7 linked regions of the Rattus norvegicus genome follow. The protein of the gene in region 1 interacts with the protein of each later gene in a pairwise test. Links are inferred from orthologs where the notes say so. Each region holds a gene or a part of one and is shown in the gene's direction. Other genes may lie near its edges. The genes, in order: Eda, Leprotl1, Emp3, Cyb561, Dolk, Pln and Mal.

Evidence for each region.
Region 2: the proteins of Eda (region 1) and Leprotl1 interact in binary tests that used the Homo sapiens proteins (3 or more experiments, as listed by UniProt). The two-hybrid records come from large-scale screens. The link is inferred for Rattus norvegicus from reciprocal best matches to the Homo sapiens genes EDA and LEPROTL1.
Region 3: the proteins of Eda (region 1) and Emp3 interact in binary tests that used the Homo sapiens proteins (3 or more experiments, as listed by UniProt). The two-hybrid records come from large-scale screens. The link is inferred for Rattus norvegicus from reciprocal best matches to the Homo sapiens genes EDA and EMP3.
Region 4: the proteins of Eda (region 1) and Cyb561 interact in binary tests that used the Homo sapiens proteins (3 or more experiments, as listed by UniProt). The two-hybrid records come from large-scale screens. The link is inferred for Rattus norvegicus from reciprocal best matches to the Homo sapiens genes EDA and CYB561.
Region 5: the proteins of Eda (region 1) and Dolk interact in binary tests that used the Homo sapiens proteins (3 or more experiments, as listed by UniProt). The two-hybrid records come from large-scale screens. The link is inferred for Rattus norvegicus from reciprocal best matches to the Homo sapiens genes EDA and DOLK.
Region 6: the proteins of Eda (region 1) and Pln interact in binary tests that used the Homo sapiens proteins (3 or more experiments, as listed by UniProt). The link is inferred for Rattus norvegicus from reciprocal best matches to the Homo sapiens genes EDA and PLN.
Region 7: the proteins of Eda (region 1) and Mal interact in binary tests that used the Homo sapiens proteins (3 or more experiments, as listed by UniProt). The two-hybrid records come from large-scale screens. The link is inferred for Rattus norvegicus from reciprocal best matches to the Homo sapiens genes EDA and MAL.

What each region holds. Positions count from the first base shown.
Region 1 is NC_086039.1:69,117,391-69,121,619, forward strand, and holds the start of Eda (ectodysplasin-A), read left to right. Parts: upstream 1-1,429; 5' UTR 1,430-1,604; coding exon 1,605-2,000; intron 2,001-4,229. UniProt on the Homo sapiens protein: Cytokine which is involved in epithelial-mesenchymal signaling during morphogenesis of ectodermal organs. Functions as a ligand activating the DEATH-domain containing receptors EDAR and EDA2R. May also play a role in cell adhesion.
Region 2 is NC_086034.1:64,750,648-64,754,147, forward strand, and holds part of Leprotl1 (leptin receptor overlapping transcript-like 1), read left to right. Parts: coding exon 1-60; intron 61-828; exon of another isoform or gene 829-2,699; coding exon 2,700-2,886; intron 2,887-3,500. UniProt on the Homo sapiens protein: Negatively regulates growth hormone (GH) receptor cell surface expression in liver. May play a role in liver resistance to GH during periods of reduced nutrient availability.
Region 3 is NC_086019.1:105,525,466-105,529,558, reverse strand, and holds the start of Emp3 (epithelial membrane protein 3), read left to right. Parts: upstream 1-1,293; 5' UTR 1,294-1,333; intron 1,334-1,342; exon of another isoform or gene 1,343-1,450; intron 1,451-1,490; exon of another isoform or gene 1,491-1,573; intron 1,574-2,104; 5' UTR 2,105-2,263; coding exon 2,264-2,341; intron 2,342-2,553; coding exon 2,554-2,656; intron 2,657-3,119; coding exon 3,120-3,260; intron 3,261-4,093. UniProt on the Homo sapiens protein: Probably involved in cell proliferation and cell-cell interactions.
Region 4 is NC_086028.1:91,385,637-91,389,623, reverse strand, and holds the start of Cyb561 (cytochrome b-561), read left to right. Parts: upstream 1-1,187; 5' UTR 1,188-1,206; intron 1,207-3,277; exon of another isoform or gene 3,278-3,415; intron 3,416-3,987. UniProt on the Homo sapiens protein: Transmembrane reductase that uses ascorbate as an electron donor in the cytoplasm and transfers electrons across membranes to reduce monodehydro-L-ascorbate radical in the lumen of secretory vesicles.
Region 5 is NC_086021.1:33,955,142-33,959,152, reverse strand, and holds Dolk (dolichol kinase), read left to right. Parts: upstream 1-1,472; 5' UTR 1,473-1,732; coding exon 1,733-3,343; 3' UTR 3,344-3,511; downstream 3,512-4,011. Other genes in the region: nucleoporin NUP188, read right to left, coding at 1,293-1,324. UniProt on the Homo sapiens protein: Catalyzes CTP-mediated phosphorylation of dolichol, the terminal step in de novo dolichyl monophosphate (Dol-P) biosynthesis. Dol-P is a lipid carrier essential for the synthesis of N-linked and O-linked oligosaccharides and for GPI anchors.
Region 6 is NC_086038.1:33,178,994-33,182,493, forward strand, and holds the end of Pln (cardiac phospholamban), read left to right. Parts: intron 1-1,066; 5' UTR 1,067-1,174; coding exon 1,175-1,333; 3' UTR 1,334-3,248; downstream 3,249-3,500. UniProt on the Homo sapiens protein: Reversibly inhibits the activity of ATP2A2/SERCA2 in cardiac sarcoplasmic reticulum by decreasing the apparent affinity of the ATPase for Ca(2+).
Region 7 is NC_086021.1:135,320,924-135,324,423, reverse strand, and holds part of Mal (myelin and lymphocyte protein), read left to right. Parts: intron 1-927; coding exon 928-1,053; intron 1,054-1,491; exon of another isoform or gene 1,492-2,069; intron 2,070-2,296; exon of another isoform or gene 2,297-3,500. UniProt on the Homo sapiens protein: May be involved in vesicular trafficking from the Golgi apparatus to the cell membrane. Plays a role in the maintenance of the myelin sheath, and in axon-glia and glia-glia interactions.

The sequences.
Region 1 (4,229 bases):
TCTTTGTTTTTCTTCTCCCTTATCAGCCTACGTCTTAGGCCTAGCCTTAAGTGTTCTGGTGCATCACCGAGCCTTCTCAGTGGCTTTTACTATACTTGCTTCAAGTTAATAAAAATGGATAATTATTCATTTCTCAATTACACGGAAATGAGAGTACCTACTGGCTAAAACAGTGGATGCTTGTCCTGCTACAGCTAGTTAGCTCTCTAAAATCTGAGACTACTAATGCTTGTCAATTGTGACTCTTGACAACTAATCTTTTCCATCCTTCATTTCCAGGTCTATTGTTCTGACATTTGCCATTTTTCCCCTCTGACCCTGTTTCTGATTGGTGCAGCTTTTGAAGATGCTGCAGTTGCAGCAGTGTACATCTGGAACATTTGGCTGACTTGTTGAACTTACCCCAGGGAGTACTCCAGGGGAAGCATGGGAAGGGTGGAGAGGCCAGAACAGTTGCCTGTGAGTACAGATGCCATTAGTGTCTGGCCATTCTGTGGACCACCCCTGTAAAAATTCACCTCATCATGACCCTCAGTTTCCCCACCTGCTCCTCGAAGGCTCGAGTTCTTCCAAAACTTCTGCAGCCCTGGAAGAAGACAAACTTTTGGCTGCGGGTTCTCTCACACAGCACTTTCTGCACTGAGAAAGGGATCAATGCATATCTTTTGAATGAATTAATATATCAAGAAATCCTAGGAAACCGTTTTAGCCTTCAAGGGACAGCATCACTTCAGTTTTACTTGGCGCTAGGCACCCTCTCTATGCTCAGACTGTGTCCCAAGACTCATTCTGGGAGTGGGGCAGCCAGGTTCCCAGTCTGTTTGGCTCCCAGGCTCCTAGGTCTCCTTTTCTTCTGGCGAGCCATTGAATTGCAAACACAGCAGGCATGGTTTCATTCCAAACCCTGAACTGTTTTAATTAGTTTAACGTCTGTTAAACGCTTTGAAGATTGAAAGCAACAGATAAGTACTGGATGATGTTATTAGCAACTGCAGTTAATTGCAAACATTTCTATTAATGCTAGTTTCTGCCTCCTTTTCTTTGCTCCACGTTCTTTCCAAGGTTCCCAAATTCTTCTCAGCCTCCCCCTCCCGCCCTCCCCCATAGCGGCGCTGAAGGGTTAAACCGGGGTGGAGTCCAAAGCTGAACGACAGCCGCACTCACCAACTGCAACGGGGCAAGCGGGAAGAGCTGGGTGGGGCTGCCAGGCAGAGGTGAACCCCCACGCCCCCAGGCCCCGCCCCACGGCTGGAGGCCCGAGTGGAACGGCAGGGGGCGGGGCGGCCAGGCCTGGCGGGCCCGTGGTTGGGCGTCCCGGCCGCCCCTTGAGGCATGGGGCGGGGTAGGTGAGGACCTCCTCCCTCGTTCCCTCTCGGGCCGCGCCGCCCCTCTCGCCCGCCCCTCCTCCTCCCTTTCCCACCCCTCGGAGTGGAGCTGCACATGCGGCTGCTCCCTGTTCTGTCCCGCCCAGCCACCGTCGCTCAGGAACGGGTCCCTGCAGCCCCCAGCCGATGGCAGGACAGTAGTCGCCTGTCAGGGGTCGTGAAGGACTGAGGCAGAGGCAGTGGCTCCCGGGCCTCAGATAGTGGTTGTCTCTGGAGGCCATGGGCTACCCTGAGGTAGAGCGCAGGGAACCCCTGCCTGCTGCAGCGCCAAGGGAGCGGGGCAGCCAGGGCTGCGGCTGTCGCGGGGCCCCTGCTCGGGCGGGCGAAGGGAACAGCTGCCGGCTCTTCCTGGGTTTCTTTGGCCTCTCGCTGGCCCTCCACCTGCTGACGCTGTGCTGCTACCTAGAGTTGCGGTCCGAATTGCGGCGGGAACGGGGAACCGAGTCCCGCCTCGGTGGCCCGGGTGCTCCTGGCACCTCTGGCACCCTAAGCAGCCCTGGGAGCCTCGACCCTGTGGGTCCCATCACCCGCCACCTCGGGCAGCCGTCCTTTCAACAGCAGCCCCTGGAACCAGGAGAAGATCCACTCCCCCCTGACTCCCAGGACCGGCACCAGGTGAGTCACCTAGGAGGGGCGGCGGCCTTGGAGGCCCCCTCCCCTGCTCGGTTGGGCGGGGGCCTGGGCCTCAGGGCTCAGGGGACTCTGCCACTCAGAGCCAAGTTCCAGGCAGGAGCTGGGAGTGGGCCAGAGTGCTGGGGAGAGGTTGTCCAGGGCAGGTTGTCCTCGGTTCCTAGCTTGGCTCATCCAGACCCTCTCGGGTCCCGTGGAGTTGGAAAGCCCAGCCTGCACGCGCCGCCCCCGGGGGGGTGTGGGCTGCTTCGCGAAAAGTTGGCCTGCCTTGCACCCATCCGGGCGCGGAGGTGTCTGCGCCACCCCCGTGGCCGTCTAACGGCGAGCAGCTTGGCCCCTCGTGCCCCCTGGTGAGATTCTCTGCCCGTGGTGCTTGTTTCTTCGTGTCCCGGGCTGATTCCAGCACTAGCAGGCTCCTCTTTGGAGTTGGAGCTGTAAACAGCTGTACTAACTGTTCCACGCCCGTTGAAACAACTTTTAACCGTACTTTCAGCGCTGGCTTCTTGTGCGCTGACCAGGACCTGAGCTTTTTCACCTGCAATTTGAGACCGATTCTCCTCTGCGTTCTAGTGAGGATCAGTGCCCCTGAGGAATTCTGGTAGAAATATGCCGTCTTGCTAGACAACTTCTGAACAGCAATTTGAAAAATCTATGGAAATAAAACTCACCCTTTGCATGCCGGTTCTGACACTCTTGTGGATGGAGTTGGGTGCAGTGGGTGTGAAGAGTTTTCATTAATGCTGCCTTTGGAACAGGAAGTTGGATTTTTGTTTTGCTTTTGATAATCTTTAGAGTGTTTGTATCCCTTTTAGCAAACCTTTATCTTGGTTGTTTTTCTAACTCGTTATTCAAGCAAATTTAGTGTACTTGATATTAAGCCTTCTTGTGGTTCCCATAGATGTCTCACACTTGAATCTTAGGCAAAGCATCCAAGGATCTTTTTGAGGTGGTTAAAGACTAATGGTGAATTTGTAACTTCTGGAGGAAACGGCAAGTTGTGTAAGTAACTTACTTGAGGTGAGGCAAGGAAGCCTTCTGTATTTGGTGCTACATACATAGTTATTGTCACAACTCTTTAAACAGTGTTTGTGCTACTTTGACTTAACGGGTTGAACACTTTTAGAGCCATCACATTCATAACAATACTCTGTCAGGACTGACACTTTTCTTTCCTTCCATTTCCTTCCTTTTCTTTTCTTTTACAATGTGCTTGGTAAAATTGCCCCAGACCTAAAATGTCAAAGACACTCAAACTTATTTAACAGCTTATCAAAGAAGAGAATCAGCAGACAGACGTCTCATACTTGAAACTTTAAACACTGGGGCTAAAGGAGAATTAATTGAGACTCTGGGTCTTTTATTTGCCCCCCCCATCCCAGTAGAGGTACTTAGCAGCTCCACATTGATATTCTGCACATACATATATCCATGCACACATACATGCATGCATGCATGCATACATACATACATACATACATACATACAATCAGGAAATTTAACTTCTTTACTCAAATGGTGCTCAAGGATTTTGAGCAATCAGGAAAGACAGAGCCCTGTTTATAGATTGGCAGGACAGCAGCATTCTAGCTTCTGTGACGGCATGGGACTCACAGCTTTGCAATGCCGTTCGGTTGCTTGCCCCAGGTGTAGCAGATATGCTTACGTGTTTCAGCACAGCTTCCTCTCTGCTGTCCTTTAGTCTACTTTAGTCTTTTGGGGCAATCAAAGCAATACTAGTTCTTTACATTTATTAGCATTAATTGGAATTTGTGTTTTCCAGATTGTAAGGTACTACCTGAGTCTATTTTACTGATTCCTTTGGAGAACATACAGGCCTCAAGGGAGAAGTAAGTGGCCCAAGATATCATAGCCTGAGTCAAAACTAGGATGAAGGTGCTCTCCCATCTTCCAGTTTAGTACACACCCCTCCATAATATAGTGTCTGCTGAGAAGGTTTTTTTTGAAGGGGGGGGAATGAAGGGACAACAGGTTGGAGCTCCATAGTAGGCTTTTTACAAAATGAAGGGCTCAGATCTGTGTCATTTTGTTCTGCTCTAATTTTGGGAAGACTAAGTTTAACCATGTATTCCTTATTCATCTTGAATTTCACTTTCAGGAGAATTTTAGCTCACTGAAGGAATTTTATCGCAGATTCAACTTATTTCTTTTGACAATATTAGCCTTAGCATGTAAACAAAGAAACAAACATATAAA
Region 2 (3,500 bases), on another chromosome or scaffold:
CTTTGGAGGAGCTATCGGACTGATGTTTTTGATGCTTGGATGTGCCCTTCCAATATACAAGTATGTCATTTTGTTTTCTTTTTGAATGCTTAAAAGTAAAATTCTTCTACTAAAGTGTTTAGCATGCTTTGAGTTCTACCATACAAGAAATGCCGGGAAACATTCATTTACTGACATGATCCTCTTCTGAAGATCCTCACTTACAGTTTACTTGTAAAGACTCTAGAATGCCAACGTAGAGAGAGGTTTGGCTGTGACCTGCTTCTGTAATGACCTGGTGACAGAAACTCAGTCCTGCTGCCCTCGATAATCCTCCAACAAAGCCTAAAGCGTCCTTTACAGGAGGCAACACAGGCAGCTTCTAGACCCAGCTCTAGGTAGTTGCTTCCCCTAGAGTGGGAAGAACTTTCTATTGAGGCATTGTCTCCCTGGGTAGCCCAGGCTAGTGTCATTCAGTCAACCCACTCCAGCCTTCAAGTTCTCGAATTCCAGGTATACATCACTGTGCCCAGTACAGAAAACTTTTTAAATTAATATTTAAGGAACTTAGTTTTCAAAAACTGAATAGAAGTGGGCCACAAATCGCAAGAGAATTGTGCCGCTAATAAGCAAGTGGAAACATACCAAATCCCACTCAGTACTACATGAAATCCACTAGCAAAGGTAAAGGAAGTGGGCGGGCACTGCTGGGTTCTGGCAGGCTAGGACTAAGCGGGCAGGGGTTTAGAAAGGGAGGAGTTGCCGTTTCTTGGAACTACTTTGCCTGTATCCTGTAGTTCCTTGAACTGGCCCTCCCCTTCTTAGAAATCCTCATACAAATCCACTTACAGTTGCTTGCAAGACACACAGAGTTGGGTGAGAATATTGCCGAGTAAATAGCAAAACATACTATTTTATATATAATACATGTAATAGCAAAGCTGGAAAACTGATGACATCATAAATGCCCATCCACAGCTAAATTATGAGGTGAGAGATGGTGTAGTGGATAGAACACTTGCAGTAGAGACATGAGGACGTAAGTTCAAATCCCAAGACGCTGTGTACTAGCCCAGTGTGGGAGCACACGTCTGCAATCCCAGTGTCCTGAGGAGAAGAAAGTGAAGACAGAAAGAACCTGTGAGCGCTGCAGGCCAAGGAGGCCTAGCGTGCACATCAGCAAACACAGACGCTGTTTCAACAATGCAGTAGGTAAAACTTGACCTCCAGGAGTCTTCTCTGACGCCCACACTGTGTACATGAACACACATTCACACGTGTAAAGTGTAAAGTGTAGAGGCTGGAGGGTTAACGCAGCTAGGAAACTGCCTGCTGTGTAAGGGTGAGGGCTGATTTCAAAACCCCAACCCCGGGGCTGGGGATTTAGCTCAGTGGTAGAGCGCTTGCCTAGGAAGCGCAAGGCCCTGGGTTCGGTCCCCAGCTCCGAAAAAAAGAACCAAAAAAAATAAAAAAAATAAAACCCCAACCCCTCCTGCAGAAGCAGAGTGTAGAGAGCTAGGGAGGCGGAGAACTCGATGCCTGTTTATTTGGCAAGCCCCAGGCCGTTGGGGTCAGTTCCTCAAACAGAAGTGGAGCAGCAGCCACGGTTGTTCCCTGGCCTCCATAACGGTAAACATGCACACACACCAGCACAGTGGAAACATGCGCACCCAGAACAAATGACTGGGTGTCTTTGTGACAAGATGCTTAGCCTTAAGCAATGAGGAAGGACTGTAAATCTATATATACATGGTATTATGTAGAGTTTCACCATGGCTAAATTTGTGTTGGAAGGATGGCTCAGTGCTTCCAGAGGACCTGGGTTCATTTCCCAACACCCACCTGCCGCCTCACAACTATCTGTAGCTCCAGTTCCAGGCGATATGCCACCCTCTGCTGGCCTCTTCGGGTACTGCATGCACGTGATACACGCAGTCATGCACAACACTCAAATAAAAACAGATCTTCCTAGCCTGGTGTCAGTGCGTGCCTTGAATCTGCACTGGGAGGCAGAGACAGGCAGATCTCTGCATCAAAGGCCGCCCTGATCTACAGAGCAAGTTCCAGAATAGCTAGGGCTACACAGAGAAACCCCAGTCTAGAAAAATGAAAACAAAACAAAAAAAAAATCTTTTTTTTAAAAAGAAAGCATAACAGATAGCTCTAACAAGTCTCCACTGTGTCCGTAATCAAGCTTGCCGGCTTTAAAGGCCTTTGTTTCTATAGACTGTTGAACCATCGCAAAGAGGTGGATCCTTTCACACGGCTTCTTCCACTGCACTTGCCAAAGCCAGAAAGTGACATCGGCACAGCATGGCTCACGATGACAGACTAAGCCTGTGGTTTTCAATACTGTCTTCTGTTACCACCTATACTCGGGTTTCAGTGAGAGGAATCATGGGTGCACTAACATTACAATAAGACACCAATCTTTAAAAGATTTTGTGTAAATGTCTTGTTTTCAGTATGCCTTCTTAGAAGCTAAAGTGAATGTCTTGAGGGGGCTTCAGTTCACAAAGCATTTTGTCAGTAGACATTTTTATTCTTGTGCCGTAATTGAACACAGGGCGAGCTGACCGCGCTTCCCACATGAGCCTGCGGGTTTGTTTTCAAGGGCATCTTGTTTGCTCTCTTGTCCTCTGGTCTACAACAGGAGCATAGTCAGTGTTGGAAGGCGACACGGCTGACTGCACGGCCACTGACTCCGTTTTCTTTTCCAGCCAATACTGGCCCCTCTTCGTTCTCTTCTTTTACATCCTCTCGCCCATTCCGTACTGCATAGCCAGAAGATTGGTGGACGACACAGACGCCATGAGCAACGCTTGTAAGGAGCTCGCCATATTCCTCACCACAGGTGTCGTCGTCTCGGCCTTTGGGCTCCCTGTAGTGTTTGCCAGGGCACATCTGGTGAGTCACCATGCTCCGTGAAGGCTTCTATACCAGAGATGAGAGGCGTTATGTCAGATTTGCCAGAGCACATCTGGTGCAGAGTGAGGTGAGAGATGTTAGGATGGAGAGGGCGCTTTAAGACCTCAGCTTTCCATTGGTTCCTGCTGTCAACTGTCGGAGGGCGTGGCTTGGGTCTGTAGCAGAAGGGCACAGTAACTGTGCTGTGCATCCTTGGACCTGCCCTGTAAAACCGGAAACCAGCGCTTCTCCGCCCTCCTCATGCAGCGACCCTTTAATACAGTTCCTCGTGTTGTGGTGACCCCAACCATAAACTTATTTTGTTGCTATTTCATAGCTGTAATTTTGCTTATGAATCATAACGTAAATATCTGAAATGCGGGATATCTGAAATGCTGCCTGGTTGAGAACCATTGACGTAGATGTGTGAGAAGTTAGTTTATCCTCTGTAGCTGGGAAAGTGTGAAAGAGGAGAAAGGGCAGACTTGCACCCAGAGTCACACCTCCAGCTCTGGAAAGGTGGAGAGAAGGGTGGAGTCTAGCTCCACTCCGTGTGGTAGAAGCAGTCATTCCCTCTGCCCCATCAGAGAAAGCGCAAGTATTGTTTCCCTCAT
Region 3 (4,093 bases), on another chromosome or scaffold:
GTATGCCATCCCTCTTTTACAGATGAAGAAAAGCACGGAGAAGTCATCAGTAATACCCATGATCACATAGCCAATGAGTGGCTGCAAAATCTGTGCTGTGTGGTACCCAGCTCCCCATCTAATCACCAGTCTAGCTAGTCCTCACCTCTGCAGGCTTAGGTCATGACACCCATCAGCTCTGGCCCCATTGGATGCTCACACTTCTCATCATCCAGGTCCCCACTCCTAACTTCATCAGAACTAAGATTTGGTCCGCTACCAAGGGATGCAGATATACTCGTCATCACCCACACCCGCTAACTCAGTGCCCTGAGAATAAATTATAATAGTTCACACTATAACCCTGGGACTAGAGTGCTGTGAAAATTCTAATGGCCTCCCACAGCACTTACAGTAAAATCCTGATTCCTCCATGAATTTCCAAGTGAATCCTCTGATGTCCCACTCACCACACCCTAGGCTCCCTGTGCTCCAGCCACACTGGCCCTTTTGTCTGTTCTCCAAATAGCACAGGTTTCTTCTCTGAGCCTGGGACATTTTCTTTTCTCCCTAGTGTCCAAACAACTCAGGTCAAATATCACCTCCTCCAAGAGGCTTTCCAGGATTATCCTTTTTTATTAGCATCTGCCCACCTAGTCATTATTGCTATCACTCTATTTTCTTTACTGTGTGTGTGTGTGTTATACCCACTACACAGATTAGCAAACTTGAGGCCCAAGTGAGTGAAATAATCTATCCCAGGTCACACGACCTACAAATAGCAACATTGGCATTCTTAAAGGCATTCATTAAAATCCTGCCCCTTTCCATAGATGTATACTTTTTGTCCTGCCATGAGTCGGCCCAAAGTTTGATCTATGTCACAGGGATCTGGTCTTCTCCAGATTGCTTGTGTCATCTACTCTGCTCCAAACTTCATCAAAGAGAGCAGGCATCCAGTTCAAGGAGGTAACATGTCCCACCCCAGAGCCCCAAGGACTTCTCATCTGAGTCCTGAAAGGAGGTCCCAGAACATGCCTACTGTGTGACTGGGTGGGCAGAGAATAAGGAACCAAGAATTTGTGCCCTCCCCTGACTGGAGACCTCAGCTGGGCGAGGCTAAAGTGGATATAAAAGGGTTGGGATATATTGAGATCGAGAGAAGCAGAAAACCACCAGAGGAGAGAGAGAAAGGGAGGGAGGGGGAAAGCAGAGGGAGAAGGGTGGGTATTAAGGGGTGGAAGGAAGGCGGTGAGGGAGGCGGGGGCCTCAGAGTGGAAGGAGGGAGCAGAAGGGCGGGGCAAGAGGCCCAATCGAGGACAGACTCCAACTCTGACTTCTTCAGCGACTCTCGGTAAGTTTTCAATCCGTTATTCAGATGGGACTTTATTTACTGGGCAGCATGGCACCATGGGTGGGGCACCTCAGGCAGGAAGAAGCCCTCTGCTCTTAGCTCCAGAGGAGAAGTCTGGTAATTGAAGAAGTGATCTTGGCAGCCTTTGTGATAGGAATACAGGAAGGGGTAGGGCCGCCCATGAGACTTGTGGTCCCAGCAGAGCCCACCATGAAGAATGCCCTGTGGCTTCTCCCTGAGGTCTTCCACTCCCGCCTGAGGTTAAGGGGTGCAGGAGGGCTCCCAGGGCTGGCTGAGTTCTCTGGACACTGAAGGGTGGTAGGAGGTGGTCTCTCCACTCAGACCTCACCCTCCCTACTTCAAATCCATCTCCCTGAGTGTCCGGAGCCTCGGGTCTGCAGTCGGGTTGGGTGAGGACCACAGAGACTCAGCCAGGGGCTGGCATTTCCCTGGTGCTGGAGGGAGGAGGGGATGAGTCACCCATGACTCACCCCAGGAGAAGAGAGTGAGTGAGTGAGTCAAGGATGCCTGTCCTGGGGGCAATTCCTGCTCCTGATGGATTGGAAAGGGTGTCAGTTTCAACTTTCATACGGCGACCCACATGGTCTAGAGACAGAGCTCTGAAGATGCCCCAACTCATTGTTAGTCCTGTTCATTCCCCTGTCTCCCAAAAGTCCATCTAGGATGCTCTCCAGTAGCACAGGAGTCCCGGGGCTTACCCTTCTCCCCAGGGAGGAACTGCTCAGCCTACTCCCTTTCTCCCTCACACAGAGACTTCCCGAACCAAGCCGTCTTTCCTCAGACCTTACAGTCCTCCCCAGCCTTCCTCTCTGACTTAGAGAGCCAGACCCCAGCCCTCTTCCCCCAGGATTGAGTGCTCCGACCCTTCGAAGGCTTGCCTCTCCTGCTCTGAGCCAGCATCTGGCAGCCATGTCACTCCTCCTGTTGGTGGTCTCTGCCCTTCACATCCTCATTCTTGTCTTGCTTTTCGTGGCCACTCTGGACAAGGTAAGCTTCCAGCTCACTGGGAACCCCAGCTGCAGCCCATCTCTAAGCCCCCACCTCCCTTCTCCTCCTCTTCCCTACTTCTCCATTGCCTGGGTCCTTTGCCCTCGCCTTGCCCATGCATTTGGCCCATCAGGTGCCTCCAATCCCCACTCTCCCTGACATCTTTCTGTCCTGCTTCTCACCTCACCCTCCCCGGTCTCTGTCCCCTCCAGTCCTGGTGGACTCTCCCAGAGAAGGAGTCCCTGAACCTGTGGTATGACTGCACGTGGAACACCACCGCTAAAACGTGGGCCTGCAGTAACGTCAGTGAGAACGGTGAGCATATAGTGGAGGGCAGGGAGAGGCCAGCCAGGACCAGGGTTGGGAGCCTAACCTAGGCAGTGAGAACCTGGGGCAGCCATAGGCAGCTTGTCTGAGTGGAGAGGCACTGCCTCTATTCTGATCAATCCAGAGAGGGTGGAGGCCACATGCTGTAGCTTAAGGAACGGGGAGAAAGCTCCCCAAGTTCTGAGAAGTGGAGCTAGCGGTATGAATGTGGGAGCCATTCATTGAACCTGCGGGAGAGTAGGGGAAGGCCAGAGTTCTAAGAGATGGAGTTGCCTCCCTCCAGGATTCTAAGTGACAGCCAGGGGTGGGGGGGATGCAGCTCGTCAGTAGGATGTTTGCCTGGTAAACCTCGTAATCCTTGTAACATGTTCATGCCTGAAGCTTGCCTGGCTGAACCTGGAGTGGGTAGAGTCTAGCCAGCTCCTGACCTCCCCTGTGTCGCCCCCTGTAGGCTGGCTGAAGGCAGTGCAGGCGCTCATGGTGCTGTCTCTCATCCTCTGCTGTCTGTCCTTCATCCTCTTCATGATCCAACTCTACACCATGCGGAGAGGAGGGCTCTTCTACGCCACCGGCCTCTGCCAGCTCTGCACCAGTAAGCACTTCCCCCCAGCGTGGGGGATGGAGGCAAGGAATGGGAGTAGACCACTCAAGGCTCAAAACGCAAAGCATCCTCAGGACCCCAGCCCTCTCCTGAGAGCAGCCTCTGTGACCCTCACCGGCTAGTGCAGCTACGGTTCTGAGAGGTTCTGTGGCAAGCCAGTGCTTGAGAAGTAGGATCTGGCAAATGATTTGGGTTCCAGGGATGGAGTCAGCTAAAGGACCCGCACACAAGGGGTTGGGGATTTAGCTCAGCGCTTGCCTAGCAAGCGCAAGGCCCTGGGTTCGGTCCCCAGCTCCGAAAAAAAAAAAAAAAAAAAGAACAACAACAACAAAAAAAAAGGACCCGCACATGAAATATTCTGAATCTTATCAGCCAACTGCAGTTTCTTGGGTACTTGTTCAAGGAGTTGATTTTTTTCTCTCTCTCTCTCTTCTCTCAATACTGGGGCTACAACAAAAGGCCTACAGCATGCCAGATGGGCTCTCATCTCTGAGGCGTGTGCCCAGCTCCACAGTGGTGTGTCCTGGGCATGGGTTCTCAAGCCTCTTTATTTTTTAATTGGAAATAAGTTTTGATAAATAGTCCTAGCTGGCCTTGAATGTTTTGTCCTCTTGCCTCAGCACCCTGGGTCCCACTTTTTTTTTTAAGGTCAAATAAATTGAAGCTTGAGGCAGTGGGTGGATGAAGAGGTCAAGAAGACCTGAAAGCACAACTCTATTGTTTTTGTTTTTTTTAATTTTTTGGCTCCAGGCTGCAAAGGGCTGAGTTAATCATGGTGGTTTTGGGAACATCTTCCTGGATTCCCAGAGAACCCCCCTCATTTT
Region 4 (3,987 bases), on another chromosome or scaffold:
ACTTAAACAAGATTCCATCTTGCCAAATCGGTCCCTCCTTTTCCTCCCAGAAGCCCAAATACACCCACCAAACAATGAGAAATGGCTCAGCTCCATGTTTAGTTTATAAGCATGTATTTATTGCCTGCTGTTTGCCGGTTAGCACACCAAGGAAGCAGCTGCTTACCTTAAAATGTCCATTAGCTTCTGTCGGATGAAGAGTTACCTTAACGTAATTCCGGTTCTTGGTTCTATCTCAACCGTACACTAGACAGCACACTCACCCTCTAAGAAGGCACCCCCTCCCCAGTTCTGTCTTCTACCTGTGGGGCGCTCCCAGCACAGGGCTACTGCCTTCGTGGGGGAGGGCTGTCCTATAGCCATGCTTTCCTCACAAGGTAAAATACCCCCTTTCTCTCCCACTCTTTGTGAGTCTGGCCAAACATCCAACAGGAAAGAACCTTTTGTTCCCAGCTTGTAGGAAGTCTGAGCTGGGCGCTTATCTACCCGTAGCATTTCCTGAATAGCGGGCCAGGATCTGCTAAACTCCCAGCTTTGCTCTTGGCAACAGTCTTAAGTACAGACCTTGGCACATCAGGTCTAGGCCTTAAATGAAAAGTTGGAAGGACTGAATCTACCCCTTAGATTGGTGTCTCTTCTGTCTCTGTCTATATCCTGGAGTGGAAAAAAAAAAGGGAGGCAAACTGTACCAATAACAGTGTCGATGTGGCTGGTGGGTGTGCAGAGGCGGGAAGGGCAGGGTTATTCCCAGCCTTCCAGTAAAATGTAAAGTGCCCTCCCCGCCCACGAGGGCTGGGAGAGGTGACCCTGGGTTCCCCGAGTTGAGCTGGGGCCCAGGCCGGGCCTGACACCTAGCGGCCTCCTGGGTTCTGGCGAGGCGAGAGTAGAGAGCGAGAGGCTAAATGACCGGGAACCCGGGCGCCGAACCCGCGCTGCTAGCCTTCTCCGCACGCCGGTCCCGAAGCTGCTGGAGCTCGGGTCGGGAGTGCGGGTCGGTATAGCCGCGGTGCCCTCCCGAGTGGCCGCGCCAGGCGGCACTTCCGGCGCAGGTGACGGTCACCTCCTCGCGCGCGCTGCCGGCGTCTCGCCGCCGCACGGTCTCCATGGCGACGCCGTCGCGCCGAGGCCCGTGGAACCTGCCGAGCGGCCGGGGCGCGGCGCGGCGTGGCGCGGGGACGCGCGCAGGCCTGGCGGCGGCGGGACCAGGTAGGCGACAGGGCGGCGGGGACAAGTTCCGCGCGGAGGGGCGGCGGAGACTGGGGCCAGGAGAGGCTGGGCTTCGAGCCGCCCTCTCGCGCGCACCTGCCCGCATCGACCGGGGCACTGCCCCGCCTGTCCCCTGACGCGGGGGTTCCTGCTGCTGGCACCGGGGAAGGCGGCCGGGGGAGCGCGGGTCGCGTCCGCCCGAGTTAGAATGGGGACTGCTGGTGACCCTAGTTCAAGTCTAGGGGCCTGTGGCTGTACTGTAGAACAAAGTGGGTGGGTGTGGACCAAACTGCATTCGCCACGACTGCAGCCACTGTCCCCGAGGCTGGTTCCTGCGCTCAGGTGCGGGCCTGGTGGATCTTTTCCCGTATCCCACCGTCCTCAGGCAGGATTACCAGTTACTAGACTGGCAGAAAGCCTGGCTCCGTGCTTTGGCCTTGGAAGTGACGCAGGTGTGGAACTTCTCGGAGAGAGGGATCTGCTGCCGCCTTTGACTCCTCTGAGTGGTAGCCAGGCCACCTCCCCTTTCCGGTCACTTCTCTTACCCTTACTACCTTTCCTCCCGCGCTGCATCAGCAGACACAGACCCTTTTGGCATGTCCTTCCTCTTTTTGTCTTGGCAGTTTTCTTTAGGAAGAGTTCCGTCTCGGGCACCTGGATTCTGTCCTGTTCTTAGCAAAACAAAAGGCAAAGTATTCTCACCTCCCTTAAATACCTTGATCACTCCTCAGCACTTGGATCTGGTGGGGAAAGTACTGGACGGTTCCAACCCCACCCCTTGTAGGAGGAGCTCCTGGAACCAGAAGTAGAATTGCCCACAGATGCCCTGCCCTGCCGCAGTCCCTGGGTGGGCAGAGCCCAGGCTTCATGAACTCACAGTCACATCTGAATGATGGGATTAAATGCCACGCCAGGCTTCACGCTCCATTTTCTAATCAACTCACAATTCATTGGAGTACGAGTGGGAATATAAAATTCCAACCATTAGAACTACCACTTAGGTCCCTCCTTGGGGACAAGAGGCTGTGATCCTAGAATGTGGGAGGCTGGCGGAGGCAGACCGAAAGTTTAAAGCCAGCTGGGCTACAGAGGGAGATACGGATTTAGCCTCCCCCCTACCTCTCACTCCCACGCAAATAAGAACTAAAGGCAGACCGACAGTCTTCCTTGCCCTAGAAGTTTTTATTCTATGGGGGAATGGGTTGGTGGTGGGCAGGAGGGGTTTGTACTGTGGTACCCCCGGCTCTTTTGTGGCCCCATCCTCACGAGTCAGTTGACGCCACTATGACGTTAAGGAGATACCATTTTTGTTAAACTGCTGTTTCATTGGCAGGCACTGTGCCAAGCACTTGTGCATATTTTCCCCATTTTACTTGTCCAAAGTCCAATAAGGTCCCTCCCCCTCCCCCACCATGGCTGAGGAGGCCAGCTCAGAGAATGGACAAGACCTCCCTGATTGTACACAGTAGTAAATAGGGGAACACACTTTGGATTACATCTTTGTGGCCCAGGCTGCGCTGTAACCTTTAGACGCCTTCGGTGTTGACATTCATGGGGCCCTTCTCCATAAAAATTAAATAATGATATTTAATGATGTTTATTTTTACAAACTCTTTTACTTTTTTACTATTGGCCAGTTCTGGTACAGAGGCCACACCTGATGGTGATTTTTTTTCCTGGCGCACCCTGGTGCCCCCTCCAACAGCCCAGCTTCTTTTTGCCTTTTGTCTTCTCACGTCCTACCCATCAAAGGAAGCTCTAATCCCTGCCCCCACCAGTCTTTGCTAACGCAATTAAAGCCTGCTGCTGATAGGGAGGGTTGTGGCCAAGGCAGGTTTGCTGCCCTGCAACTTCCCTGCGCTCCGCTCGGCCCCCTGGGTTGTCCAGCTTGTGCATCTGGTACCAATAATGAGGTTAGGCCTGGTTGCCTTTTAATAAAACACAATGGGCTTGGAGAGGCACAGGCACAGGTAGCCAGGCACAGGTTGTGCCCTGAGGGTAGCTATGTCCTTGTGTGATTGCATTAAGCGGAGCCAGTCTGCAGGCGGCCTGTGGAGTTTGGATTGTTTCTACTTGACTGTCACAGCCCAGAGATCTGTCACCTCACCCCGAACTCTCAGAAAGAAAGGAGAGCAGCCGTGTGAGAGGCCACGTGAGCACCAGTTCCTTACAAAACTCTGAACTAAGTGTGGCGTGTCAAGAGGCCGAGGTAGGGAGATGTCGAGCTAGAAGCCAGCCTGGGTTCCACTGTGAGATCATGTTCTGAGAGAAAGGAGAGGGAGGGAAAAGGAGAGAGAACACAGGTCTGGGGGAGCAGAGGAAACCTAGGGTCAAGCGTGGCCATTTCCAGCCTGAGGAGCGATAACCCACCACTGTGCTCTGGAAACACAGAGGTAGGAACAGCCTATAGTGACAGCATCTGCATTAGCAGGGAAGGGTAGGGCATTCTCACTGTAGGGGTGACCAGGGACCATGATACAAACGCACATGCTTACAAAGGAACAATCCAGAACCCCCTTTAAAGCTCACAGATCTGGGCTTGCCACAGGCAGAGCAGTTCTGTCCAGAGCCTTGGGGGCACCCATTTTTATTAAAGGATTCCTGAGTATCTGTAAGGCACAGGAGAAGTCAATAATTTTTGTCTTTGAAGCAGGGTTTCCCTGTGTAGCCCAGGCTGGCCTGGAACTTGCAGTCCTCCTGCTTTAGCCCCTGAGTACTGGGATTGTAGGTGCCTGGCACTGCTTTCTTTTCTGTGACTCCAGCTTTTGCACATTTAGAACG
Region 5 (4,011 bases), on another chromosome or scaffold:
ATTTTTTAAAGTTTTCATACAAGTATTTCTCCATAGCTGTGGATACAAGGCCTAGCATGAAACAACAGGGGGAAGAAAACCAAACTGGCCCCCACAAGAATCACACTTTATCCACAGAAAACTCCAAAGAAATTGCTGCCCGTGGACGGTGAAGAGGCTACTGTAGAGAGAGATAGGCAATGTGATATTTACATGTTTGTCTGGGTGTTTAAGGGTTCAGCAGGGAACAATAGCAAATAAAACTAGCAGAGTCAATTCCGGGCAACAGGGAATGTTTACATTTTAGGGGAGGAGGAGAGGTGAAGACACTTCTCATCTATAACGTGGATACATACAGAGGGCTGATTAAGGCTTTAGAGCCTTCGATCTGAATCCTCATGGGGATTATCACGAGGGGCAGACGAGGGGGACTGACTATGTATGAACTGGACTTCTTAGTCCTGTGTAACAGGAGGTGCGTCTCCTAGTTGTGGGAAATGAATGAGATAAGGCCTGCAAGGCACTTTCCCGGGGTCTGGCGCTAGTAAGCGCTCTTTAAAGGCAAGTGGGGCTCTCGCAATCCATGTCTGTAATTTCCGCACCAAGGAGGCAAAGAAAACAGGGATCTCAAGGCCTGCACGTGATACAAAAGATCTTACCTCAAAAAAGAAAAACAAGAAAGAGAAAGGAAAAGAAAGAAAGAAAGAAAGAAAAGAAAGAAAGAAAGAAAGAAAGAAAGAAAGAAAGAAAGAAAGAACGAACGAACTCCGTGAGAACTATGTTTGTTTTGGGGTAATTCATCTTGTGTCCGAACCCTGGCACAGTACCCGGAATCATTTGGAAGATGAAGGCATGCCTGCTGATTGAATCAATATCAGCATTAGTCAAAAATAAAAGAAGGCGGGAACTAAGGATGCTCGCGGGAAGAACTCGCGGCGTGGGCAAGGCACACCCGAGGCGGTGCAGGGCACAGGGACAGCAAGGCAGGGATCGCGGTGGGGTGGATCTTCCAGAAGACCCCGAAATATCCCGCAGTGCCTACAGGGAGCGTAGTGCAGGAAGCGTGGGTGTATGGGGAAGACAGGAGGCATAGGGACCACGAAGAAAGGAGAGCGGCCGGCCCGCTCCAAAAAGTGTCCTCAGCCCCGCGAGCGGGAACGGTTTGGACCTAACCGCCTCCCCGGCAAGTGTCCGTCCACCCAGCCCGGGCCCGTCTCCGTCACTGCCGCTGGGTCCCGTTTCCAACTCCGGCCCAGCTCCCACCCCGCGCCTCACGGCCACCCCCCACCCTCTCGCTGCGCCCCACTCCGTACCTCACACACGGCCCACCGGCGGCAGCCGCCATCTTCGCGCGCGCGTCCCAGCCCCGCCCCTATACGCTGCACCCACGTGACCGTGCGCCGCCAGACCGGGGGCCTGGGTTTTCAATCACGTGGTGGTGGGCGTGGCTAGGAAGGGGCTGTCAAGATGGCGCTGCCCTGGTGTGAGGCGAGTCCGCGGCGGTGGCAGTGGAGCCTGTAAGAGGTGAAGAGTGCAAACATCTGCTACACCGTAGGTTGAAAGCGGTGGAGGGTGACTGGGCGCCGGCTCCCAGGCCTCAGAGTGGCCCGCGGTGAAGCACTCTTTTGGAAACTGGAGAAGGTCGCTGCCTGGGTGAAATTGCTGCCCCTCAGCTTGGCGGGTTGAGGGCTCCAGAAGCCAAGGCGTCCCTAGTCACCAAGCTTCTTCTCCCAAGATACCCAGGCCTAGAGACATGACCCGACAGTGCCCTCCCCAAGCCCCGGAGTCTGGGTTTGCGCTGAGCGGGTCAGTGCTGGCGGAGGCTGCAGTGGTGTTCGCAGTGGTGCTGAGCATCCACGCTGCAGTGTGGGACCGATACTCCTGGTGCGCCGTGGCCTTAGCAGTGCAGGCCTTCTACGTCCAGTACAAGTGGGACCGGCTGCTCCAGCAGGGGAATGCTGTTTTCCAGTTCCGAATGTCCGCGAACAGTGGCTTACTACCGGCCTCCATGGTCATGCCTTTGCTTGGGCTGGTCATGAAGGAGCGCTGCCTGACTGCAGGGAACCCATACTTCGAGCGCTTCGGCATTGTGGTTGCAGCCACTGGCATGGCAGTGGCCCTCTTCTCCTCGGTGTTGGCACTGGGCATTACTCGCCCGGTGCCCACCAATACTTGTGCCATCTCGGGTTTGGCCGGAGGTATTATCATTTATATTATGAAGCACTCGCTCAGTGTGGGCGAGGTGATCGAGGTCCTGGAAGTCCTGCTAATATTCGTTTATCTCAACATGATCCTGCTGTACCTGCTGCCCCGCTGCTTCACTCCTGGGGAGGCACTGCTGGTATTGGGTGGCATTAGCTTCGTCCTCAACCAGCTCATCAAGCGCTCTCTGACTGAAAGCCAGGGGGACCCAGTGGACTTCTTCCTGTTGGTGGTGGTGGTGGGGATGGTGCTCATGGGTGTCTTTTTCAGCACCCTCTTTGTCTTCATGGATTCGGGCACCTGGGCCTCTTCTATCTTCTTCCACCTCATGACCTGTGTGCTGGGCCTTGGTGTGGTTCTGCCCTGGCTGCACTGGCTCATTCGTAGGAACCCCCTGCTCTGGCTTCTTCAGTTCCTCTTCTACACAGAAACTCGCATCTACCTCCTAGCCTATTGGTCCTTGCTGGCCACCATGGCCTGCCTGGTGGTGCTGTACCAGAATGCCAAGCGGTCATCTTCTGAGTCCAAGAAGCACAAGGCTCCTACCATTACCAGAAAGTATTTCCACTTCATTGTGGTGGCCACTTACATCCCCGGTATCATCTTTGACCGGCCACTGCTGTATGTGGCCGCCACCGTGTGTCTGGCCGTCTTCATCTTCCTGGAGTATGTGCGCTATTTCAGAATCAAGCCCCTGGGTCACACTCTGCGCAGCCTTCTGTCCCTCTTCCTGGATGAACGGGACAGCGGGCCCCTCATCCTGACGCACATCTACCTGCTTCTGGGCATGTCTCTTCCCATTTGGCTGATCCCCAGACCCTGTGCACAGAAGGGCAGCCTCGGAGGAGCAAGAGCCCTGGTCCCCTATGCTGGGGTCCTGGCTGTGGGTGTGGGCGATACTGTGGCCTCCATATTTGGCAGCACCATGGGGGAGATCCGCTGGCCTGGAACTAAGAAAACATTCGAGGGAACTATGACATCTATATTTGCACAAATCATCTCTGTGGCTCTGATCCTAATCTTTGACAGTGGAGTAGACCTGAACTACAGCTATGCTTGGATTTTGGGGTCCATCAGCACTGTGTCGCTTCTGGAAGCATACACAACTCAGATAGACAATCTCCTGTTGCCCCTCTACCTACTGATTTTGCTGATGGCCTAGTACCGAATAGCAGCTGTAATGGGGGAACGGAAATTGGGAGAATGAATGGTCCTCACAGCAGCTAGCCGCTTGGACACCAAGAACTAAGGGATGAAAGGCAGATTTAGCTTCCTCCCAGAAGATGAAGCCAGAAAGTTGATTCAGACTTAAAATAAAGAAGCAAAGCTTTCCTGGTTTTATTGTTGCTGATATTTAAAATACAGAAAAAGGCTAAAGGCATACACACCAATTCAGGGAAGTTGAATGTGCTGCAGAGCCCCCATTTTATAATCTGGGTAGGGCATGGCTGGAGCACACCCTGGAGGCAGCAGAACAGAAAGCTTAATGCTTGGGTATTCTGTGTCAAATAAATCTGATCAGAATCCTTGGCCATACAGCTTAACTGTATGGCCTTAAGAGAGTCTAAGCCTCAATTGTTCTGTCTTTAAGATAGGAATAATGACAGGCTGACTCTCTGGATACTGGAAGTCTTTATCGAGAGGAGCTGTGTAAAGTATCTAAAGTATTCAGCCTGGGTGACAGTGAGATGGCTCAGTGGATACAAATACTTGCAACACAAGACTGAGGACCTGAGATTAATACCTAGAACCCCCACAAAGGTGAAAGGAGAGAACTGAGTCCACAGACTTTTCTTTCAACATTCACATGGGCATATTGGCTCTCGCACA
Region 6 (3,500 bases), on another chromosome or scaffold:
CTCAATAAATCAGACCTTGTTGTCTCTAGACAGTAAATAACTGCACTTTATTTTATATTCTTGTTTTAAAACTGATTGTAAACAGTATTCTTAAAAAAAAAAAAAAAAAAAAAAAAAAGTACCAGCCCTGGGAACTCCTTCACTCAGTCAGCAAAGGCAGAAAGGAGGCCTCCAGTTTGAGGCCAGTCTGTTCTGTGTAGAAAGTTTTAGGCTAGTCAGGATTACCTAGCAACACCCTGTGTCCAAACAAATAAATAAATAAAATGTTAGTGATAAACAATAATAATCTCGAAGTCAAAGCAGCCGCTGCCTCTAGACAGCTCACTGGTTTATTTTAAACCTGTACTAATTTTCTGTTAATAAGCTTTATTTGGTCAGCAGTGGTTTAAGAGCTTGGGGAGGGGGGGACACAACCCCACCCCTGGCCATCAGGATTAGCTGAAAACTGGAACTGTCTGGGATAGTTCAGAATCATAGCCCTTACTGTGCCTCCTCCCGAGCTTGGCGGTCTTCAGCACTTGACCACCTTGTTGTTTAGAGTAGCACTAACCAGGAGGCTGTACCTGGGAGGAGTCAGGAGGATATGTATACGATTAAATGCACTGTGTGATTCCACAAAAGCATAAACCATAAAGGAAAATGGCAAGCCGCTAGAACCTGTTTACTTCATATTTAACTTTTCACTTAACCATTTTATTTCAAACTAAAACTAAGATCCAAGATATAAGTTACTATATGCATCTTGTTATGATTAGTTCCGAAACATTTATAATAATAAATGTTCATACCAATTGTGTTTACAGAGAAACAGTTTTAAAAAAAAACAAACAAACAAACAAGGAAACCGTCCCAAAGAAGCATTCCATGAATCAAGTAATAGGTGCCAAACCTCCAGCCCCTCCGCTCACCCAGGACGAGTGCTAACATATGAGAGGAGCAGAGAGGCTGGGGCTGTAGACAGTGATAAAATACAGCACTGAGGAACATGAACCGGTACAAAACTGCATATCTATCCAGAGAATGGGTTTAGTATGAACCTAATCCTTTTACTATTTTTACATTCCAGGCCTCCTAAAAGGAGACAGCTCGCGTTTGGCTGCCTGCTGTCAACTTTTTATCTTTCTCTTGACTACTTAAAAAAGACTTGTCTTCCTACTTTTGTCTTCCTGGCATCATGGAAAAAGTCCAATACCTTACTCGCTCGGCTATCAGGAGAGCCTCGACTATTGAAATGCCCCAGCAAGCGCGTCAGAACCTCCAGAACCTCTTTATCAATTTCTGTCTCATCTTGATATGTCTGCTGCTGATCTGCATCATTGTGATGCTTCTGTGACAAGCTGTCGCCACCGCAGACCTGCACCATGCCAACGCAGCTTACAACCTGGCCCTCCACCACGAGGGAGGCAGTGCCGCCGCCTTCCTGCTGGACATCGTCGTGAAGGTCACGATTAAGAGTGAGACTGATGGCAGCCAGTGTGATCATCGGCTGGATCTTGTAAACTTTACCACGACTAAGTGTGCACAATGTAGCTGCCCGTTTCCTCAGTGTGGCTCATAAATGTCTTTCCTAAATACTTCTGACATTGTAGTATGAGTTTTAATTTTGAAACAGCACTACAAAAAAAGTTCACTTTCTATATCCAGCACTAGAAAGTTCAACTTATAGCTTCAGTTTGGGGAATAAATGAAATTTAAACTGCGTTGCCACCACTTTTTTTTTATAGGAACTAAATATTCTTCAGGTCTGCACAAAGTAGAAAATAATAATTTAAATGAAGTGTTCTTATTCAAAATAGCTCACTGGGTCCTCATATAGACGACGATGACGATGACCATGACGATGACAATGATTCAGAAGTCATGGTCATTACTGTCAGAACACATACCTTGAAAAAAGGTTGTGCCCTTTTTCTAAACACTAATTATTTTTAAGCTTATGAGAGTCAAATAGGGAAATGTAAAAGCATATTCTCATATAAAAATCTTCACTAATTTTTCCACTAATTGTGGAATTCAAGCACATTTACATTAACCACAAATGTGCTCTCTCTAGGGTTTGACCAGCAAGCAAGAACATCTTACTGTGTGGTTGCGATAATCACTAAAACATCAGAACCTCACCCGAAGGTTGGCTTGGCACAGATCTCCTGGGTTGTGCCGGGCTTCTCCAGATAATAAATGATAACAACAAACCAGACAGCTGTGCTGGGGTACAGCTCTCTTCCTGCATCCCCCAGAGAGGAGAGGCTTGCTCTCCTAACTTAAAAACTAGAGATTCTATTTTACAATCCTTACTAATCACGGTTTCAATTTCCCTTTCTAAATTCCTAATATCTCTCAATAAATACTAAAAGATTAGGAGCTAAAAACTGTATTGGAAAACATTCACCAAAATTTAGTTAACTTAAGTTATCCAATACAAAACAGTTCACACCTCTCCTGTGCACTCCCACAGTTCACACCTCTCCTGTGCACTCCCACAGTGTTAAGTCCAGCTCAAGGCATTCTACCAACACAGCAGCTATTAGGAGAGTTATAATTAGATATATTTTCCATAATGATTACTACGAAGATACGGCGCATCAGTATTCACCTTGGTCCCTAACAGAGCAGCTGAAGGCATGCTGATTCGAACTGTTTGAATCCCTGATAGAAAGGAAGATGTCTGGTTTCAGAAATTATCCAAAGAGTAGCCCACAAAGGAGTCCCACGTTAATAGGCGTCTCTTCAGAAAAGGCTGGGGGTGAGGGTGCCCATCACAGAAACTATAAAACATGGATGACATAATCTCTAAATCAATGTTCCCTTTGTGATGCTATGACCCTTTCATATAGTTCCTCATGTTGTGGTGAAACCCAACAATAAAATTATTTTTGTTGCTATTCCATAACTGTAATTTTGCCTCCACTATGAATTGCGAATATTTGTGTAGACAAAGGTTTGCGTGAGGGGTTGCAACGCACAGGTTGAGAAGCACTGGTGAATGGTCTGCGGAATTATGTACAAGTGCATAAGTTCGTAGTTGCCATGCTGAGAGGAAAAGGAAGGTGAAAAGCGCCTGGCCCTTTACATTCTCACTACCACACCAACTGTCAACTCATAAGTTCTTCTCATCAAACATTTAATGTTTAATGCCTTTTACATTTCAGTAGTTAAATGTTTATCTATAAAATGCAATAAGAATGGCCTATATTCAGATGGGATTATGATTTTGGTGCAATTGCTATACAATTAAATGCTATTACTATAAAATGTTGTCATTATAAAGAGTTTTGTGTTGTAAAGGGCAGAGTGGGGGGCACTTTCCCCAAATAAAGTAGAAATCAAGATTTCCTAAGACAAACATGAGAGGGTGGACGTACATACAACAGTACTGCTTAGCCTCTGGTTATTTTGAATCTTCTGGCAAAGCAGGAAAGCAATCAGTCACATTAGAAGATCTGGTTATATGCTATACCAGGTTTTTAATATCTTGAAAGTACATGATAATCCATATAGAC
Region 7 (3,500 bases), on another chromosome or scaffold:
TACAAGGGGATTTGCTTATTATTAACCAAGGAGGGTCAGGCCACTTGACTGATACCTCTCCCTGGCTTTTCTACTTGAACTTTTGAAATCACTTCCAAATTACAGCCACACAGAACATTGTCGTAGTTCCTTTTTGCTTTGAAATATACCAGGAGCCAAAAGAAATAAATAAGACCAACACAACAAAATGAAAGCAGTGGAAATGGCCCAGACTTCTCTCCCTGGACAAAGAGCCTGCATCCAAGCCAGGACTGTAGCATGGGCAGTTGTCTTGGGGTCCAGAACCAGTTTTTATTTCTACCTGTAATCCTGTATTTGTTCTGTTTCTTGTTGCTATGGAAAAATACCTGATAAAAAATAGTTTACAGAAGGGTTTGTGTGGCTCATGGTTTATGGGTATAGTCCAACATGGTGGGCAAGGGTTAGCTGCAGGAAAGGTGAGGTGCTAATCTCATCTGCCAGCAATCAGAAAGCAGAAGGATGAATGTTTGTGTTCAGCTAGCTTTCTCTTCCTTGTTCAGTCTGGGACCCCAACCCATGGGATGGTGCCATTCATATTCAGGGTGAGTCATCCGTCCTCAGTTAAGCCTCTGTGGAAACACCCTCAAAGACACACCCAGAGGTGTCTCTCAGAGAAGTTTCTAACCTTTCAAGTTAATAATGAAGAGCAATCAGCACACACTATAAACTCTCCCTCTGTAATAACCTCAGAGAAAACAGCATCCTCTTCCACTAAAGGGCTCCCTGTGTGATCTACCCAGGGAAAGGAAACTCAGCAAACAGCCCCCAAACCTCGATTAAGCTGGTAGACTTAAGGGGTATGGGTATGATTCAAAGGCAGTGGTCAGAAACAAAGATGGGAGCAGGTAATTCGAGGTTGGGGTGTTTCTTCCTTCTCATCTCTGACACAACCCTTTTCCTCCACAGGATGCAGCCTACCACTGTGTGGCTGCCCTGTTTTACCTCAGTGCCTCAGTCCTGGAAGCCCTGGCCACCATCACAATGTTCGATGGCTTTACCTACAGGCATTACCATGAGAACATCGCTGCAGTGGTAAGTTCACTGCGGCCTGCCCTGCAGCACACGGAGCAAGCGGCTCTCACAGCCTGCTGTAGAGAGGAGACATAAAGTCCCTTGGTTGTCTTCTCAGGGATGCATGGTCCAAGGTTCAGTAGACACAGGAGCTCATGGCAGACTGGCTGTGCATGGGTGGACATCTGAGGGGTGACTACCACTAAGTACCCAACAAGTGTTCTTATCTGACCCTCACTAGCAATCCTGTGAGATATTGTCACACCCACATCACAGATGGACGGGCAGCCTGAATTTGTTTCCACAATAGGCAAGGGTCAAAGCCAAGGTCTTGACCACCTACCCAGGCTTTTAGTATCAGTTTCGAGCAGTGAGTTTGGCCACTTGGATCTCATACCTTCCTTGAGCATTTCCACAGAGACATTCAGTCAAGACAAGGAACACTGAGGAAAGGATGGGTTTTCTTTTCTTTCTTTTTTTTTTTAATGGGTTTTCTTTCTAATGGGCTAGATCCAAATGACAAGGAGCAAGAGGCTGTGTTATTTCAGAAAGATGTTTTTCTGAGTGGTAGGTACCCTTGGAGCAATACATTGATGCACTTAACTCAGAATCATGAATATAAAACTTATTTCTAACTATGGGTGACATATGAAAAATGAGGATCAAAAGTTAGAAACGGTGCTTCTCCAGCTTCTAGAAATTGAGCTGTGCATCAGGCCAATCCCAAAGACGCCTGCACCCGTGTCATTTGCTCAAAGTGTGGAACAGAGGTTGGGTGCAGTCCACAGGGATGGGTGTTGGGTGGTGTGCTTATTCCTGGATCTAGAGGGAAAGTCTGGGCAGAAAGTTCCTCAAAGCATCATCCTTATGGGACACTGTGCAACCCTAAAGAAGCTGCATGTCCCCTTAAGCAACTTACATGAACCTGGCCACCTTGAGGATCTTGTTCCTGTCCTCTTCAGTTGTCCTACGCCACGGAACACTGCCCAACATGGAGTTTCCAGAAAACAGCATAGATCCATCCTCTCTGCTGCCATCTATAGAGACAGTTTCATCTGCCATCGGACAAGCACCTTAGACCTCCCCCTCCCTAACTCAGAAGACTTCTGAGTTCACAGAAATCCAAGCATTTGACAACAATTCCCCTAAACGTCTTCAGGACAACAGTGTGCTGTAGATTAGACGTGGTTTGAGTCAGTACATGATGGAAACATGTAGGAAGATGGGGTTAAAATCCCTTCCCACTGAACAGATTGAACGCTACCTGGCTCTCTTACAGCCCAACTTTCCTCTCTGACTTTTTATCAAAAAGCACCCTTCACCCAGACAAGTGCACAGGTTCAAGCAGATGTACTGATGAATTTTCAGAAGATGAATGCTCCTATAATTAAGAAATAAGACACTTGGGGCTGGAGAGATGGCTCGGCAGTTGAGAAAGAATACTGCTCTCTCAGAGTTCCATTCCCAGCATGACATCCAGTGGGTCACAACTGCCTATAACCCCAGGTCCAGAGGACCCAGCATCCTCTTTGGGTTTCCATGGGCGCTGCACTCACATGCACATACCCTCCCTCAGAAACACAGATATTTTTACTTTCAACAATTTGTTTTTTAAAGAACTAGGACATAGGCCTTGAGGTATATGTCAGTGTAGAGCATTTGTCTGGAATGTTCAAGCCCTTGGATTCAATCCCCAGAATTACTACTACTACTACTACAACTATGAATACTACTACTCACACACACACACGCAGAGAGAGAGAGAGAGAGAGAGAGAGAGAGAGAGAGAGAGAGAGAGAGAGAGAGAGCCAATTCAGTTTTGCCCATCTCTTGAGGTGGAATTATGCAAGGCTCATTCTTTTATGCTTAGCCTCTCTCTGTCTCTGTTTCTCTCTGTGTGTCTGTCTGTCTATCTGTCTGTCTTTCAACCTTATGCTTGTGAGAGTCATCAGTGTGGTTGGATGGAGATGGAGATTGCATTTTATGGTGCTGTATAGTACTCCATTGTAGACCTTTCACATTATTTACTTATCCACTCCAGAGCTGATTCTATCCCCACATCTTCTTTTGGGGCTTGGATAGACATGCGCATGCCCAGCCAGTCAGGTGTGCTAGAATCAAAAACCAGAGGTTCTCATTTGTTAGGGGCACTGGGCTGGAACCAATAAAGTGGCACTTGGACCAGATTCAAAGTAGAGCTACCTCAATTCACAGTCTTCTCCGGATTGATCCATGGGAAATTGACACCTGATCTTGGAGCCTCCTGTACATCAGCCGGCCTGCCTCATGCTCCCCTCTCTGGTCCTAATTGGGATCTGTTTCTGAAGCTCAGATTTTTTCACCCTGACCTTTGGTGGCAGTGAGTGGAGCTCCTTTGCCAGAAAACCCTCTGGAGTTGATGGAAGTTGACAAAGGAGGTTTCTCACCGTGGTGGGCAATTATGGCAGAAGATCACAGGAAAGGGCTTC